Linked DNA regions of Schizosaccharomyces pombe. The gene in region 1 interacts genetically with each later gene. Each region holds a gene or a part of one and is shown in the gene's direction. Other genes may lie near its edges.

The links.
Region 2: mutations in wdr7 (region 1) and ypa1 together harm fitness more than expected from each alone (negative genetic interaction), as found in Schizosaccharomyces pombe (2 studies listed by BioGRID).
Region 3: mutations in wdr7 (region 1) and rec14 together harm fitness more than expected from each alone (negative genetic interaction), as found in Schizosaccharomyces pombe (2 studies listed by BioGRID).

What each region holds. Positions count from the first base shown.
Region 1 is NC_003423.3:2,267,901-2,275,921, reverse strand, and holds wdr7 (WDR7-like protein), read left to right. Parts: upstream 1-2,669; 5' UTR 2,670-2,727; intron 2,728-2,964; 5' UTR 2,965-3,145; coding exon 3,146-3,411; intron 3,412-3,491; coding exon 3,492-4,604; exon of another isoform or gene 4,605-4,647; coding exon 4,648-6,349; 3' UTR 6,350-6,354; downstream 6,355-8,021. Other genes in the region: SPOM_SPBC16H5.12C (uncharacterized protein), read right to left, coding at 1-1,141, 1,201-1,312, 1,621-1,783, 1,838-1,849; SPOM_SPBC16H5.14C (DHRS family dehydrogenase), read right to left, coding at 6,355-6,689, 6,744-6,874, 6,926-7,320.
Region 2 is NC_003424.3:4,833,520-4,838,090, forward strand, and holds ypa1 (type 2A protein phosphatase regulator), read left to right. Parts: upstream 1-2,675; 5' UTR 2,676-2,875; coding exon 2,876-3,748; exon of another isoform or gene 3,749-3,791; coding exon 3,792-3,896; 3' UTR 3,897-4,071; downstream 4,072-4,571. Other genes in the region: aspartyl metalloaminopeptidase Ape4, read left to right, coding at 1-909; trm7 (tRNA 2'-O-ribose methyltransferase), read right to left, coding at 1,351-2,184, 2,403-2,426; lip2 (lipoate-protein ligase), read right to left, coding at 4,131-4,571. UniProt on the Schizosaccharomyces pombe protein: PPIases accelerate the folding of proteins. It catalyzes the cis-trans isomerization of proline imidic peptide bonds in oligopeptides.
Region 3 is NC_003423.3:2,783,897-2,788,906, forward strand, and holds rec14 (Ski complex WD repeat subunit Ski8), read left to right. Parts: upstream 1-2,998; 5' UTR 2,999-3,081; coding exon 3,082-3,370; exon of another isoform or gene 3,371-3,423; coding exon 3,424-4,043; 3' UTR 4,044-4,510; downstream 4,511-5,010. Other genes in the region: inositol phosphosphingolipid phospholipase C Css1, read right to left, coding at 381-1,655; protein Gem7, read left to right, coding at 4,574-4,849. UniProt on the Schizosaccharomyces pombe protein: Required for formation of the rec12-mediated double-strand breaks (DSBs) that initiate meiotic recombination.

The sequences.
Region 1 (8,021 bases):
CATTCCTAGCTCATCAGTATGTTCCTGATCGTACCCTTCAATCTGTTCTTCTTCGGTTGGTGTAGCCGTAGCTTCTCTGTTCTTGGTAAACTGTGCTTGAGATTCCACCAACCTATTGTTAGCGTAATAATAGGTACCGGTATTTTCCGAAGTTGAGCGTGGAATGTGAGATGCATAATTTTCGTTACGACGTGAAGCCATGCGACGATAGCCTAAATTAAAGCCATGAGATTTGCTTTCCACTTGAACATGCCCATTTTCGACGACAAAAACAGTCCATCCAAAGGAAGCATCTAATAAATTGAAGTTCCATAGGTTTTTAAAAGCAGTGCCGGGAAGCATGTTATTCATAGCATATGAGTTAGTTGCATCGGGCATGCGAGAGACTAGGCGAACAACATTGTTTATTAGATGATGTTGTTCAGGGGTAACCATCTTCTCAACCTCAGCCTTAACAGTGTCATACACTTCCATAAACTGTGCACGGGCAGCCGAAAGTTTTTGAAGATAATGTTCAGGACTATGATTTACGCAAAACTCATTGTAGCTAGCTCCATAACGAAAATGAAGACCGGCGGATAAAGTCAGGTCAGCCTGGCAAGCAGTAGCTAATTGAGAAAGAACACCTTCTCTTCCAATGGGATGATGCGTAATAAAAATACGTGCCTCCTCTCTGTCAAGCAGGCTCTTAGCGGTTTCTATTAGTTCACCCATTTGAAGGATTGTAGTCCACATAGTACCCTGGCCACCAGCAATAGTTCCTTTACCGTCTCCATTGTCAAAAAGCTTAAAAGGGACATAAGGACCTCCAAGACCAAGTAAACGGATTTTCATATCTCCAATTTGCAATAGGTAGGAATGAAGTTCGTCCACTATGTTAAGGTTTGGAATAGAATATTCTCCAGAACGAAATTTTTCCAAAACGTGCACATCTTCGCAAGCTCCCCATACTACATATACAGGGACTGAGAATTTCTTCTCTTGTGACAAAAATTGAGGTAATTCTGAAAGCAGGCAATCGGGGTGAGAAGCAATACTATTCTTCAAATCCCCAATTGGATTCGAGGGATAATAATCAAAGTTTTTGGACCTAGGAAGCTTTTTTATGAGAGGCGAGAATTGGACAATGTGACGAAGAGTACTGAAAAAAGGTTAGAACAAAGAAAAATGAAACATAAAAATTTTTGACACAAAACATACCGTTCAGATATGCTAGGAAGTGAGGATCGCTCAAAAAATCCAAAGTCACCAGTGTGGATGACACAGGAGGCATTGGTTTCCTCAACCAGGCTATTTATTAAACTCAGTTCACCTGAAGGGATAGTTATTAGTAAAAACGCGTATTAAAGAGTAGTAATTTTAAGGATAGGAATAGCTAAGGAGAATAAAGTGTATGGACAAAATTCTTTTACGAACCAACGAGGATCTTTAATGACAAAATGAGTAAATTGAGCAATTGCGCTTCAACTCCTGCTAAGCCATTATGGATAAGTTCATGCAAAAGCATACAAATTCGCATCTTCTTATCTTAAAAAGTAAAACGATCGTCGATAATTCCCCCGATGGGGTGCTTTTGAATTCTCGCTGGCAGCTCTAAATCCATAAACAACGCATACTTACCTCGAACATCGGCAATACATAAGATCCTGGATTTATTATCCAATGTGAGTACTTGAGCTGAAACATCCAACGTGGAATTATTCTCGGAATCTGAGTACGTTTTAGAGGATTTATTTTCCAGCGTCCCAGTTGAAGGTTCCGCTTGAATATCACTTTTAGCCGTCTTTTATGTAATTAGTTTAAAATTTTTGCAAAGATTCATTAGATCTATACTTACATCCACGCTCATTATATCGTAAAAATCTAATGAAACGGATAAAACAGTAAATGGTGTTGAGTAAGGGTTTTGTGATGATGCCTCAGTTTCGGCACTGTACTACTTCCTACTACAATAAGAGAATGTTGCTTCGTAATGTTATAACTTAGATCCACCACAAACGAAGTAAAGTAAATTAAATATATAAATACACAAAAAGCAGCAGTTAATAGATAGTTTTTGAAATTTTTAACGTGACAATTGTATTTCTGTAGTATAAAACTCCACAAAAAATAAAAATAAAAATAAAATTTAGTATATATTAATATATATATTTATATATAAATATGAAAAAAAAAGGTGCTTCAATGAAGGATTACAAAATTCTTGAGAAAGCTCGGTAATCGGGACGGCAGAGTTTATTAGGGTATATGTTAAATGTTGCAGCTTTGGAATGGAATTGTTAACTTATTTTACACATACTATGACTTAAGTTTGCCTCGTGTACAGTAGATGATGCTACAGTCTGAAGTATATTTCAATTTCGTTATATCGTTTTTCCAGGTTGAGATTTGAATACTAGTTGCAGTGCGAAATTTACAACATTTGAAGTATGTAAATGTTCTGTTTATTTGGCAAATTGAATAAAATAAGACTGTTAGCAATTTTTTCGGTTTTTTTCTATGTACAACAATACTCTTTTGTGTTATTAAATAATGCTCGTTTACTATAACTTAAACTCGTTTGTACGCTGTATTCTTACTACTAAGTATTGTCAAGATTTGGAAGCAAGGGCATCGCCCCATCAACTAGGTCATATAGTATTCGCGTGCTTCAAGTAGCACAGCAGCACATTCCCACCACCGAGTGGAATTCGAAGTTGTGTGCAGTGGTATAAATTTTGGAGAAGTGTAAGTTGTATATAATTCAAGAATGAAGAGATTTATGTAATGATTGATACAATCGGAGCTGTCGATGCATACATTCTATTAAATGACGGATGGACGAATTGTTTACATGGCTATTTGTTAGACATTCTTGTCTATGGCTGTTGCAAGTTCTTCATTTTTCTTAGATTCTCTTCCTCAAATACTTGTTGCATCTTGTTTATTCGTTTGCGTTCCGAATTTGCTAATTTTACATTCAAGAATATCGCGGCAACTGTTAGTCTGCCTAAATATTGTTTTAATTTCATTTTCTGCGTTTTCAATTACTTTTATATTTAAAAAGGTTTAACAATTACTGAATTGAGTGGTTATTTGGGAAGCCGTGTTCGAACAGCGTTCAAAATTGATGTCAGCCTTAGACCGTTGTTGATTGCGAATCAAAATGGATTGGGTTGCATTGTCGAAAAGCTGTAAAACTCATTTGTTAGATGAAGGCCTTGACGTGTCTTCAATACATTGTTTTGATCAGTATTTGATAGTAGGCCAATGTTCCGGCCAAGTCATGGTATTTGACGTTTCTACAGACAATCATTTCACTTTGATCCAAACATTTATAGCACACAAACATTCCGTTTCTTCTATAGTTTGCCTTCCATTTGAAGCTGATGGAATTGTAGACCTATCAATCATTACACTCGACGAATCTGGGTATGTTGAGCAACTCTCATTAGCCGAGCAGCAATTATCAAATTCATTATTTAACTTATTTCTTGCTAACATTTTCTCAGATTACTTTGTCAATGGCTACTGAAAACATGTGACCGACGAGCTACTTTGCAATTGTGTGACGGGCTATGTTTAAAGCTATTTAGATTAAATAACAACTTTCTTGCTGTTACCGGAACCTTTTTGAAAATATATCTCATTAGAATCTCCAACTTTCAGATAGTTGCGACTTGGACTGGTCATGAGGACTGGCCTATTTTGTTTCCGTTCAAAGACGAAGCTTTATTAATCCCTGTCGCCTATTCAGATGGATCTGTATCTCTTTGGTCAGTTGATTGGTCAGCTCTTACTTTTAAAAGAAATTCAGTTACAAAAGCAGATGTTAAACCAACTTTTGGTAAGGTTATTGATGTTGTACCAGCAGATTGCATTTCTTCCAATTATGCGCTATATGTATACTCGGATGCGGTAGTACTATTGGAATCGCATGAGAAATTTATAGCTTCATATTCACTTGCAGAGATAACATCTGTATTTGTTTTGGCTGATGGCACGGCTTGTATTTTTACTCTTTCGTCTTCAACTTTACTCAAACTTCATCAATCTCCTGAACCTCATTTCGAATTAATTTCTAAGTATTCTGGAGATTTTCCATGGAAATCGTGCACCATTTTAAAAAGTAAACCCGTTAGTTTGTGTGTTTATCCCGAAAAAATAACTTTCAATTGGTTAACAGAAGGAACCGTAGACTCATGCAATCTTTGTAAGTTGAGCAATACAGCTGCTGTTTCCTACGCTTATACGGACTCTCTTAATTTATTCCTTGGAACAACCTCTGGTTTAGTGATGTTTTCTTTGTTTGACTGGTACCTTCACAATGATCCAGCTCCTCTTTACTCTTTTACAAGGGTTTCTGGAATTGTAACATATATGAAAATATTTGAAACTGAACATTCACGCTCAATTTTAGTTGTTGCTACCAAAACTGGAAAGGCTTACTTTTATCAACAACTTCAGGGTGAAAGATGGAGATTTCTCTGCGAGCGTGCTTTGCAATCTTCTTCAATTACTAAAATTATTCATGCAAAGAAATCATTATCTTCTGGTTCATCAGGCTTATTTATTTTTATGAGTTTAGATGGCTCATTGTGTGCCTTGGATGAATCTTATAATCTGTAAGTTATCAGTGTGTTATCAGTTATTAATCGACTTTTATAGTCTAAGCTACTTGCCATCTGATGGTGCTCAAGTTGAAACTTTGTACTCATTTCCCGATTTAGATCAAATCTATGTTGCTTATGACAATTTTCAACTATTAAATTGGGACGTTGTGGATCAAAAATGTTCTGAAGGAAATTATTCAGATATTATTGACTCTTCGTTCATATCTATTGGTACTTTTGATAAATCTAACCTCCCTACTTTGTATCATGGTTCTTGTGCTTTACTCACCGATAATTTGGTTACTGTTTTTTTAGACGCTCATGATTTAGTACTGAACCTCAATTTTTCTAATGAAAATTACATAGAAAAAACGTATATTGACGAGTTCCTTGACTTTATCCAACCTCCTTTCCTAAACTCTGATATAGAGATGGAGCATCAGTTGTTAGGTACTGTTTTTGATCAATCCAGTTTGCATCTTGGTGTGGGTAAGCCAGATGGAAATGCCATACTTCGATTTGACACCGAAATGAAGTCAATAATAAATACTGCACCAAATTGTTCCGCTTTGCTGTTATATCTATATTTTTCTCTAATGGTTCCTTTATGTAAATATGATGGGCTGAGCGATACCAAATTGACTGAAGGAATATTATTAAAGTTAAAAGACCTGAAAACGGTTGATTACAGTATTTCCGTTCTTTCATACGTCTGGAATAATTCAGGCAAGGTTATGCAGGGTATAATTAAATCAATGTTGTCGAGAACATTGGAACTTATATCTCCAGAGGAACTTCAGAGGCTTATATATTATTATTTTGAGTTTTTTACGACTACAGGTGGAGAGTACTATCTGAAAAAGGAGGTGCAACATTCACTGTACATCTTGTCATTAATTGTCAGTTTACGGCCTTCAGCATTTGATGTTTCACAATTGAAATTTTTGTCTTCCTATTTATTACAAAAATCCGAAAGTATGGACTATGACTTAACAGCAATTCGCCTGTTGAGTAATGGTTTTTCCGTGTTTTCAAAACATATTGATCCTGCAAAGTTTATATACAACCTGGTTTTGTCATCCTTAGAGAATACTAAGGATTTGGATGATAAAAATAGCATTCTCTATAGATCAATAGTGGATGTCTCAGTTTCGAATGCTGTTTTACTGCTTACATGTTTATGCGATGAAGTTTATGAGCAAATGAAATCAAATTTACGTTCCGTTATACTAAAAGTTGTGTCTTTGGCAATTGAAAACACACAATCCGAATTTTCTTTATTTAATCAATTGATCACGGAAAAATTACTTCCAATCCTTTACTCTAGCCGCTCGGTTGAAGAAGTTCACGACGTTACTAACGCAATTGCAACCCAATTTCCATTTGCATGTTTTGATAGTAAGGTGGAAAAATATTCCTACATTGACGATGGTGATCTTGTGGTTTATGAAATAGCTAAAAGAAGGAAAGTCGTCAGCAAGGAAAACGCCGAATGTGATATTCAGGTATTGTCCGCCAGTCCTTCTGGTGACTATTTTGTTGGAGTCAGTGCTACGCAAAAGGAATGCATTATTTGGAAATACAGCCAAGATTTCGTAAAATTCTTGAACTTATCAACACCTTCATTAACGATCCGAAAACGTATATTATTACAAACTAACAAAACGAATGAGGTTGAAATTCCTGAAGTCCTATGGATTAGCCAGTCATCAGCAGAAGTCCATATTGGGAGCACCTTTGCTATCATTGACTTGTAGGTGGATTATGAATAAATTTTATCCATGCCACTAAATAGACGAGCCAATTTTTGTATTGGAAGTGGGAAAAACCTCAGTAGAGGCATAAAACGTGCGTAAAATGGATAGTAAAAACGACCCGATTTGTTTGTATATAAGTTTTGAATAATAATTTTTGCTAAGTTTTGAGGTTCTAGTAGAGGGGCTAATACTCTGTTTGGGGTATCTTTTTCGAACATTGTAGATTTAATTTGCCCTAAAACATAAAGAGAAAACTTGAAGTTGGGATGCTGTGATAAAACCTCTTCCTCTAATGTTTCATGTAGCGAAACTAGTGCCGCTTTTGAAGATGAATAGGCACCTGTTAATCACGTTAGAAAGGAAAAGCAAATTTTATAAAATCAACCCCACTTACCGACTCCCATCGCACTAAAATAAGCCAAGGAGGATGCTATGTTGACCACATGAGGATTTGGATCTTGTAAAAGGAGAGGAAATAATGCAGATGTAATTGCCAGCTGTCCGATCACATTTGTTTCAAAGCATCTAAATTAAGCAGTTAGAAAATAAGGCTTACTACGCTTAACCTGTACTTACTTTTGTAATTCTTGTCTTGATATAGACAGCAAATGATTTTTTGGAGCAATAGCTGCAGCATTGATCAGAGCAAAAGGGGTCCTGTTCATCTTTTTCAAAGAATGGACACATCCTTCTACGTCCTTATCTTTGGTAATATTACATTTCAAAGCACTAAATTTAGAATTGTACTGTAGAAAAGATGCAGGCTCAGTACTGTCCAAAGAGGCGACGCTGAAGCCTCTATCCAACGCCTCTTGAATAATAGCATGACCAAGAATCCCACTTCCTCCTGTTATCACAATCAGTCCTTTAGCACATGAATAGGATTGTTTCCTGAAAAGTAGAGGAAACCAAGAAAGGGTTAAGGCAGCACAAACAAGCGAAATCACCAATAATAATATATGATTCAACATCAGGGAATGACTTCTGTGAAAAATATGATAAGTTGCTGAATGGAAACTTGGCAGAAAGTCGTTAACATTAGCAGCGAACTCTTTTGTGTTTCGAATAAGTTAACGTCCAAGTTCTGATCGTCTAAAGACCCTAATATCGTATTTGACGAAGTCAAGGAGAGAACCTTAGTAGATGCTGCCAAACAAAAGCTATTTCCTAGTGTAAGCAAAAATCACGCGTAGTAGAATAATTCATTAAATCGTTGAACACTGCTTTTATAAACTTATATAATAAAGTTTTGATCAGTATCGCCAATGTTGTATTGAACTTGTTAACTAAATTATTCAATCCGTACTACGAAAAATGGAATGCCCATCCTGATCTTAACTTGATTAGTCTTATAGAGTCAAAGATAAGTGATGGTTTTTTTTTTAAAATATTACGCCTATCATAAAAAGAAGCATTAAAAAATGCGATTAAGAATTGCGTCTTCAATTTCCTTATATATTGAAACATAGTACACACTATACCTTCCCTTCATCTTCGACTAGTTGTTTTTAAAATATTTGAAAGTTTGAGCGTGCTCAGTTTTCTATGTTGCATATAGATCAAAGGAACATATGTATGTTAGTAAATATCATTGCATTCAACTATGCTATTAATTAATGTTTATTAAATGATCCCAACGCATGTTGATGTTGTATTTTGCATTTGGTAACCC
Region 2 (4,571 bases), on another chromosome or scaffold:
TCTGCCAATTCTTCTTTTTCATTCAATATGGAAACAGAATTTGTTCCGCTTATTGGATTGGAAAATGAACTTGCGAAGGAAGAAACCTCTGATAATGGTGACAAATATCACCATCCTGTTTTGCTTTCTTTACTTGCGAATGAAATATCTAAATCATTAGAGACAACTATAGATCCTTCCAAAATTGTGGATTTTGAGTTGATTCTAGGTGATGCTGAAAAGGCTCGCCTTGGCGGAATTCACGAAGAGTTTGTATTCTCACCTCGTCTCGATAACCTTGGAATGACATTTTGCGCATCTCAAGCTTTAACTAAATCATTGGAAAATAACTCCCTTGATAATGAAAGTTGCGTTAGAGTTGTTCCCTCCTTTGACCACGAGGAAATCGGTTCCGTGTCAGCTCAAGGTGCTGAAAGCACGTTTTTACCAGCTGTTCTCCAAAGAATATGCGAGCTGGGGAAAGAAAGTTCTTTGTTTTCAATTTCCATGGTAAAAAGTTTTCTAGTTTCTGCTGACATGGCTCATGCCATGCATCCCAATTACTCATCTCGCTATGAAAATTCGAATACCCCATTTTTGAACAAAGGAACTGTAATTAAAGTTAATGCGAATCAGCGTTATACGACTAATTCCGCAGGCATAGTCCTTTTAAAGAAAGTAGCTCAACTCGCCGATGTGCCAATTCAGTCATTCGTGGTGCGAAATGATTCTCCTTGTGGAAGCACTATTGGTCCCAAACTTGCTGCCATGACAGGAATGCGTACACTCGATTTAGGAAATCCTATGCTTTCTATGCACTCTTGCCGTGAAATGTGTGGCTCCAAGGACTTTGAGTATGCAGTCGTCTTATTCTCTTCATTTTTTCAAAACTTTGCAAATTTGGAAGAAAAAATCATTATTGATGAATAGTTTACCAAGTTTGTTTATGTCTTACACCTCATGATACTATGGGTTCATAAGAACGCCATGAAATTTACCGAACTCGTATCTGTTGGCCGTGCTATGAGTAGTACTAGTTGCCTCTCTTATAGTTATGAAAATGATATCCACATGACAATTATAATCATAACCCCATGATTTGCTATAGCAAGGTATAAAGTTAAACATGACTAGCAAGTCTTTCAACGAAAGCATGTGTGTATCAAAAGTAATTGATTTAGATAAAAATTCATAAGAGGAAATTCTGATTATAAGTATACCGAACACATCCTGCTTTCTTTAATTTTTTTATGAAAAAAGAATGATAGGTTCAAAAATAGATTATACCTATATAATATACAATAGTAAAACCCACTGCTAAATTAAACGAAAGAAAAGATTAAATAAAAAAGAGACAATTGGAATAATAGGTTACGACATCATCTTGCTATGCTTCAATTCGATAGCTCGTTTATAAGGAGGAGCGGTTGGAGGTTGTATAACGTCTAAGGTAGCCTTTTTCATATTTATTTCAACGGGATAAGTAGCGTCCGCATCATAACCATCAAGGTCACCACATGCAATAAATGGTGCAATCTCATGAGCATTGGTTGGATCGATTACACATAAAGGTTTTGTTAAATCGGGTTGAAAATTAGAAGGGGGGTTAAAATCTTCACAAACGACAAAGGACTCGATAGAGCTAGCACGAGAGCTTCTTGGTTTAGCACAAGAAACTTTTCGAAACATCAAACGAAGCTGAGAGTATAACAGTGAAACATCTCGTCCACGAAAAATTTTTGCAACAAATTTCCCACCAGGCTTTAAAACACAAACCGCTAAATTAAATGCAGCTAACAATATCTGTGCTTGAATATATTCATCTAGGTCGTGCAAACCAGTAACATCTGGGGCACCATCACTAACTACGAGATCAGCCGGTTCATTACCAAAGTGAGACAAAATAATTGAAAGGGTGTTGGGATGAGTAATGTCTAATTGCAGGGTGCATACCCCATCGATTGGTGCCATGGGTTGAAGATCAACAGCAACAATCATAGGTTTCTCATCTGCGGCAATGGAAGTATCAATGTTTTTGAGTAACTCACGAGACAAAACTTGAGACCAAGACCCCGGTGCAGCACATAAGTCTACAACTCTTTTTGCTCCTTCAAATAAATTGAACTGTTCGTTTAATTGGAGCAATTTGAAAGCTGAGCGGGCTCTCCACCCTTGTTCCTTCGCCAGACGATAATAGGCATCTCTCTAAAAAAGTGTAAAGTTAGTATTTTAACAAAATAAATAGTTAAATAATTATTTAGCAATAAAAAAAAAATGAAATAATAAACTAAAATGTTTCTATATGCGACTGAGAAACATTAAAGTTTACACATTAATATACGATATAACTTCGATAAAATTAACGTAAACTTTTCGCTACAAAGTTAAGTATTTACAAGGTTTCAGTAACGCACGAGACATACCTTATCTTTGCTGCTTCTCCCCATTTGTTTTTCAGTTTGGTAAAAACTGGTTGAAATTATTATATTCGTTTCTTGCATCGATTGTATTGAATAAACATATCGTTAAATATTGATTAGGAGATAATTATTTCGGTAGCGTATTGTTATGAAGTGGTTCGAATTAACATATGGATACATCACTATAAAGATTTTAGGATATAATCACATCCATAGTACTAATTATCGTTAAACTAATCTTAATCAAGTTATTGAATAAGCTAAATGCTTCTTCTCGAATACTGCTATTATACTCTATCTTGATGAAAGCAATATCAAGCTGTTTTTAAATGCTGTTATAGTTGCTGTTATATTCTTTAACTTGGTCCTGGTTTTTTTTAATAAAGAGTCGTTCATCAAAGCCTGTAACTTAGTGAGTGTCGTAAATCTATTGGCGTATACGCGAACTTGATTGATTCATTGTTTATTGCTTTACAATGCAAGTCGTAGATGAGAAAACAATACTAGAGCTTGAAAATGAAAGGTTTGATGAAAGTTCACAGTTTAAAACTCCCGAAAAACTAATCGTGGAGGCGAGCGATATGACGGCGTTTCGACAATCGAAAGCATATTATCGAATTTTTGATTTTTTACAGCGTCTCAATATTGCATCTGTGGGTGTGAACGATTATCATGTGGAATACTCAACAAGAGTTGAAAAGTTAGTACGAATATTGTGTAGAGTTAAAGAAATTACTAAAACTGTACCACCTGCATCAGGTCGGCATCGGTTTGGTAATCCTGCTTTTCGAATATGGCACGAAAAGCTACGTGACTCCGCCTCTCAAATTATGGACATCATTATTCCTGATTCATTGAGTAAGGCAAAAGTGGAGTTACTGGACTATTTTTTGGGATCGTTTGGTAATTCTCAAAGAATTGACTTTGGTACGGGTCATGAGTTAAATTTTTTGGGTTTTATTAAGGGCTTGGACTTGCTGGGACTTTTAGATGCCGCAGATTATAAAGCTATCGCCTTGTACATAACCCATGTTTACTTGGAAGTTTGTCGTGAGCTCGTTCAAACTTATCGCTTAGAGCCTGCTGGCTCACATGGAGTTTGGGGGCTTGATGATCATTTTTTTATTCCTTATATTTTTGGTTCTGCCCAACTTGCTGATAAGGCATCATCTTCCATCATAAAGCCTGATGCTATACTTAACAAAAAAATAGTGGATGAAAAAGCTAATAGCAACTTGTATTTTAGTGCTATCAAGTTTATAAACGTGATGAAAAAGGGCCCATTTTACGAACATTCCCCAATATTGTATGATATAACCGCTGTTCCTATATGGTCAAAGGTCAATCAGGTATGTTAAGAAGTGTGTATTTATTAAGCTAATTACTTTCAAGGGATTGATAAAAATGTACGATGTGGAAGTGCTGAGCAAATATCCTGTTGTTCAACACTTTCATTTTGGAAATCTCTTTCCGTTTAACCCTTTAGTTGCAAAGTAGTTTAACTTTAATCTTTCGTGCAATTTCAAAAACAAATAGTCACTGTTATTAATGTTATGTTTTATTTATTGTATCTTTTATGGTTGCTGATAAGCTATTTTATAGGGGCCAAAAGGAAGGAAAGCCCGCAAATTTACTGAAAAAATTTTTAATAAACCAAATTATCGCAAGAATAGCATTACTGTTATTGCATTATATTTTTTATAAGTAATACTGTTTCTAATACATTTAAATTTATTTACTCATTAAAAAGCTATCAAGGTTATTTACCAGTACCTTCTCTACAGACTTTAAGTCAGTAAAAACTCCTTGGTCTTTAAAACTGGTAGTGTTTTTTCCATATAATCCGCAACCCACAATGTAATTGAAATACTTAAGATCCGTACTAACATTGAGCGCAAGACCATGACTAGTAATATTTCGGCGTAAATGAATACCAATTGCTGCAATTTTATCGTTTTCTGTTACCCACACACCGGTGTTTTTTGTTGTATGAGCTTTTTCGATGCCAAAGCTTTTACATGTTGCTATAATCGCTTGCTCTAGCCTTGACACATATTCACGTGGACTTAATCCAAAGGACTTCAAATCAATAATAGGATATGCAAGTATTTGACCAGGACCATGAAATGTAGTTTGCCCACCACGCAATGCTTTAACAACTTTAGCCTTAGG
Region 3 (5,010 bases), 520 kb from region 1:
ATTTGTAATTACAGTAATCTGTTCACCAAACGAACAGAATCTTTAAATAATATTGATTTCATCCCTCTAAATCCGAAGTCGCTTTTTGTAAATACGCGTTTACAAAGACAACGAGTTTAAAAACAATGACCATTTATAAGTATACCTAAATGAAAAACAACTGGTTTGAGTCAAATATTACCAAAACCAAACTTTAAAAAAATAACACAGAAATTATCAAAGGTTGTTTGTAAAAATAATTAAAAAAAAACAATTAGGAGTCGCTAGCCTCAGCATGCAAAGCTGTGATAAAAAGCTTAGATAAAAATGATGGGAAATTTTAAATTAACAATGTGGGATAAAGCGGGATAAAGAAGGCATATTAACAGCAATCGGTAAATTTATGATTTAGCAAAGGGTAACGGATGGTCCACAAGATACTGTTTGCAAAGTAATTTCTGTTCCTTAAGTTCAGCAACAAATTCAAGCAAACCATTAAACTCCCATCTACCAAATAGCAATCCAATACAGAAACCATTGACTACTGCTGCGATGGTAAGCATTACCGTGAAGAAAAGGATGATAACCTTTAACCAAGCGGGATCACACCATGCGATGGCAACATGTACTCCTATAATTAAGGGAATAGAAATAAGTAGATGAGCAATTCGAAGTCTCATATGAAGACGTTCACGAGCCATGTATTGATATGTAATTCCTAAAGTATCATCAATGATGGAATAAGATACACGAGTTTCTTGAACTGGTATTGGTTGCAATTTTATAGACAAAACAGTCTCGATTGCAAAGTGATCAGAATAACTGCAATCCAATTTGGGAACACGTTCAAGAAATACCACTTTAGCATTTTTAGCCTCACAAGTGGAAGGAGAGTGAAAAACGTAATCGAGACGTTTAGCCACAAAGTCATCCATATCCTTACTAGAAATGTTCTCACGCCAAGTGTTGAGACGGGAATCACAAGTAGTACCAGCAATTTCAACCAACTCCTTATCATTCATGCTGAAACGGTTAGGTGGATGCTCAACTTGGTCAGGATAGACAGACAGCCAAGCATCATTGACCAAACCATAAGAGGTAATGATTTCGTGAGGAACACTAAGGGGTTGAATGTTGAAGTCACCAGCAGCGATTACGATATGACCACGTTGAACAGCAGCACGGAGCAATTTCGAGATATACCAGGCTTGTGACAGACGGTGGCACAAGTAGGTATCAGCACCCTTACCGTATGGAGCATGCAAATGAGTATTGAACAAAGAGATGATCCTTCCAGAGGGATGTTGTAAACTAGCTGTAGCGACACCCTTTCCAACATACCAATCACCTCTCCAAAAAGCTTGAGGACGACCATTAAGTGGATACTTGTTCATAGAAGATTCAATGATAGGAAACTTCGAAAACATGGCAAGTCCAGCACCCATAGCAGCACTATGGAAAAACCTAGAATAGACAAGATTGCAGCTCACCAAGTTACGAATTTCCTGAAAATCGTAAATCGACCATACTTCTTGAAGAAGAACAATGTCATAATCGCACTTCGCAAGTTTTTCGCCAACAGCTTTCAAACGTTCAGTACGGTACTTGGAAACAAAGCGCAATCCCCAACAATTAAACGAGAGAACACGCAGTTCAGGGGCCTTTTCAACACTCATTGTTGCGAGGTTGGAATTAAAAAGAGATAAAGAAGGACGGAGTTATTGCCGTCAAATGGAACAGTAAAACGAATAGTTTATAATTTGTATGTAAAGAAATAATCTAACAAAGTTTATTAGCTTAAGAAGAAAGAGAATTTAAGAAAAAAATGGATAAAGAGACGAAATTGCTGAATTAGTATAAAAACAAACAAAAAGCACCATCGTGGTCTTAAACCAAGCCAATGTCATTAACAGCATGAATTATAAAGACTCTGTCTCTTTTCTTCCACGAAAGCAGAAGACCAGCAATTTTCGACAAAAAGCTCATAACAGTATTAAAGAAGTGTTTTGAGACATTAAAATACCAATTGCAACAATTACAGCCTCAATGCATTTCATTCATAACTTACCTGTAACTAAGCGACAATATGTGCTTATTAGAACACGTATTATTAAGAAATCAGGAAATTTCTGAATATATACAAGAGGAAAGGTGGCGTGTTAAGAAAGGAAACAAGAGCCTTGTGCTTAACTTAAGCCGTTATTGTACACAGAACTGCGTGATTTTTTACTAATGTCAGATGACTCCATTTCCGATGTGTTAAAGTTATTTATGTAACGCGTTATATTTCGGTAAATCTGTAAACATTGGAGTAGAAGTTATAAATACAACACTATGTGAACTTGAGTAAACATCCATATTCCAGTGTTAAAAATTGGTTTATTTTTTATTTAGTATCTTTTAAAAATCAATATTAAAGATAGTCTTTCTTCCCTTCTGAATTGTGGCGTTTTTAAAAATCGTTTTGTAAGTGTGTTTAAGTCATTCGAAAAAAATGGTATGAATAAACAAGTTGTTCCAAATTGCATAATGAAATGATTAGGTTATCTACTAAAATAATTTATTCAAATTTACTTTACCTATTGCAAGAATCACGAAGCGTTATTTATCGTTTCTCTTGACTTGCTACACTAGACGAGTAAGATAAAGGGAAAAAAGTAATCTTAAATTTTAGTAATTGCTGTTATCTATATCATATAAATTAATCGACAATTATGGGCGCCAGGTCTTTTTATTTCCTGGATGTTAACATTTGATATCTGCTCATCTTTATTTGATCAAACTTCGAATTGTTCAAATTTGAAAAACCTACTATTGCCAAAAGTTTAAACAATTTAATTCAGTGTCACGGTTAACAACTAATAATCTCACCTTCTCATTTCTACCTACAGAAAAGAATTATTTTCTTTCATTCATACTTATAAATTCATCTTTTCACTAACATGTTTAGGGTATGTGCATAGACCGTGTATATCTAAGGAGAACGCAACCACAGTAAACTAAGTCCTGCTAGTCACAGGTTTAAGTATTATAAAGTATTGGAAAGCGCCAGCATTTTAATTACTAATTTTGTTGTATTATTTTCCTTATTTATTAGATACTATGAGGAAAGAGTATCTCGTTAGCCATATAGAAGAAAATGCACATCAAGCAGACATTTACTCTCTCAATGTAGTCGCAGGCAATCTTTGGTCGGCTTCTGGGGATTCCAAAATAAAAAAATGGTCTATAGGTGATGCTGAGCATAGCTTAGTTGAAGAAATAGATACCCCTCATAAACTTGGCGTTCATCATCTAGCAACTAGCTTGGATGAAAACGTCGTCGTTTCTTGCGGATTTGGACAGGATGTTTATGTTTGGAATCCTGAAACTAATGAATTTCGAGACTTGGGTACGAATTACTTTACGAAGAAGCTATGCATTTCTCTAACGAATATGATTTAGGTAATAATGCTCAACATCCCAGCGAATGCTGGTCTTCTTGCATTAGCCCTGATGGACAAACGATTGCTTTCACATCTGTAGACGGGCGTATTGCTGTCTGGGACAATCCAAGTGATTGCAAAATTTCCGAGTTAGATACCAAAGGTAAATTCGGTCTTTGTATAGACTATTCTCCCAATGGAAGATTTATCGTTTCTGGTCATCAAACTGGGCAGCTTTTCCTTATAAGTACAGAAACAGGACGCTTGTTTCATGTACTATCGGGCCACACTTCCCCTGTACGATCAGTGGCGTTCTCTCCTGGTTCAACACTTTTAGCTGCTGCCGGGGATTCTAAAATGATTACTATCTACGACGTTTTATCAGGGGATCAAGTCGGCCAACTTCGTGGTCATGCTGCATGGATTTTTGCAGTAGCTTTCAATCCCGTAGGTGATTTGTTGCTTTCGGCTGATGTTGAAGGAAAAATCAAAATCTGGGATATTGACACCATGGAATGTATTAGTACACAAAGTGAAACGGATGGAGCTATTTGGGCTGTGGCATGGTATAAAAATGGGTTCATCGTCGCAGGTGCTGATAAAAGTATTCGTTGGTATAGAGCTGCTGCTACAGAATAATTGCACTCTTGTGCTTTCTTAATGACCGATGGAAAAGTTTTTAAAAAATAGCAAAAAATTAAGGAGTTTCTAATATTTGGATTAATTATGAATATCAACACTTTACTCGTAAAACGAAAGGATCTTGAAATGGATTATTTTAGGGTAACGCATTTTTCTTTTCACTTTCATCATTACAAGTATGTTTGTATCATTGTTTACTTTCGTTCGATACGCTTTTACTTTTTATATAAATTATCTAAGCATAAATTCCTAAGGAAATACGAATCTCATTCAAAGTTTCCATTGTATTTAAAACATGAGTTGACTCATAATATCTATAAAAGTTTATTTTTTATTTTATAGGTAATGGTTAGCTTAGTTTCTTATGTGTTTTAACTGTATTACATTACGTGCCTAGAAAGTTTACTCTCACATACGATAACGACGCAAACCGTTTAAAACCATGCACATACTGCATATGTTATAATCTTTACTTTGAAGACTTTTTGTAATTCAAGATTACTTTTTGTTGATAAATTTTCACACTAATGGCAGAAAATAATAAAAAGTCTACTGCTTACATCCAGAGGATGCGAACACTAAAATTTTATCAAAAAATGGCTTCTGCGCGAATCCCGATCACTGTGTACCTCCACGATCAACGAGAAGTAAAAGCAGAATTTGGAGCGATAGACAGTAGTGAGTCAAAGTTGGCAGTTTCCAATCTACAAACCGATTGGGGCGTTATTAACAGAGCGGTGATACGAACAGGAGACGTCGTGGGCATCGAATACAATTTGGTGCAGGAAGAAGGAGAACTTTGATGATACATTACGATTTTCAGATACAGAAGCCTTAACAGCCATGGTATTCAATTCAGTGTTTACAGATGAGAAAGCGTGATGTACATAGTATGCATAGTTGTATAGAAGCGCAACATAATTAATGTTATTTATTTAGGAGGAATATTAAAAATAATATCGTA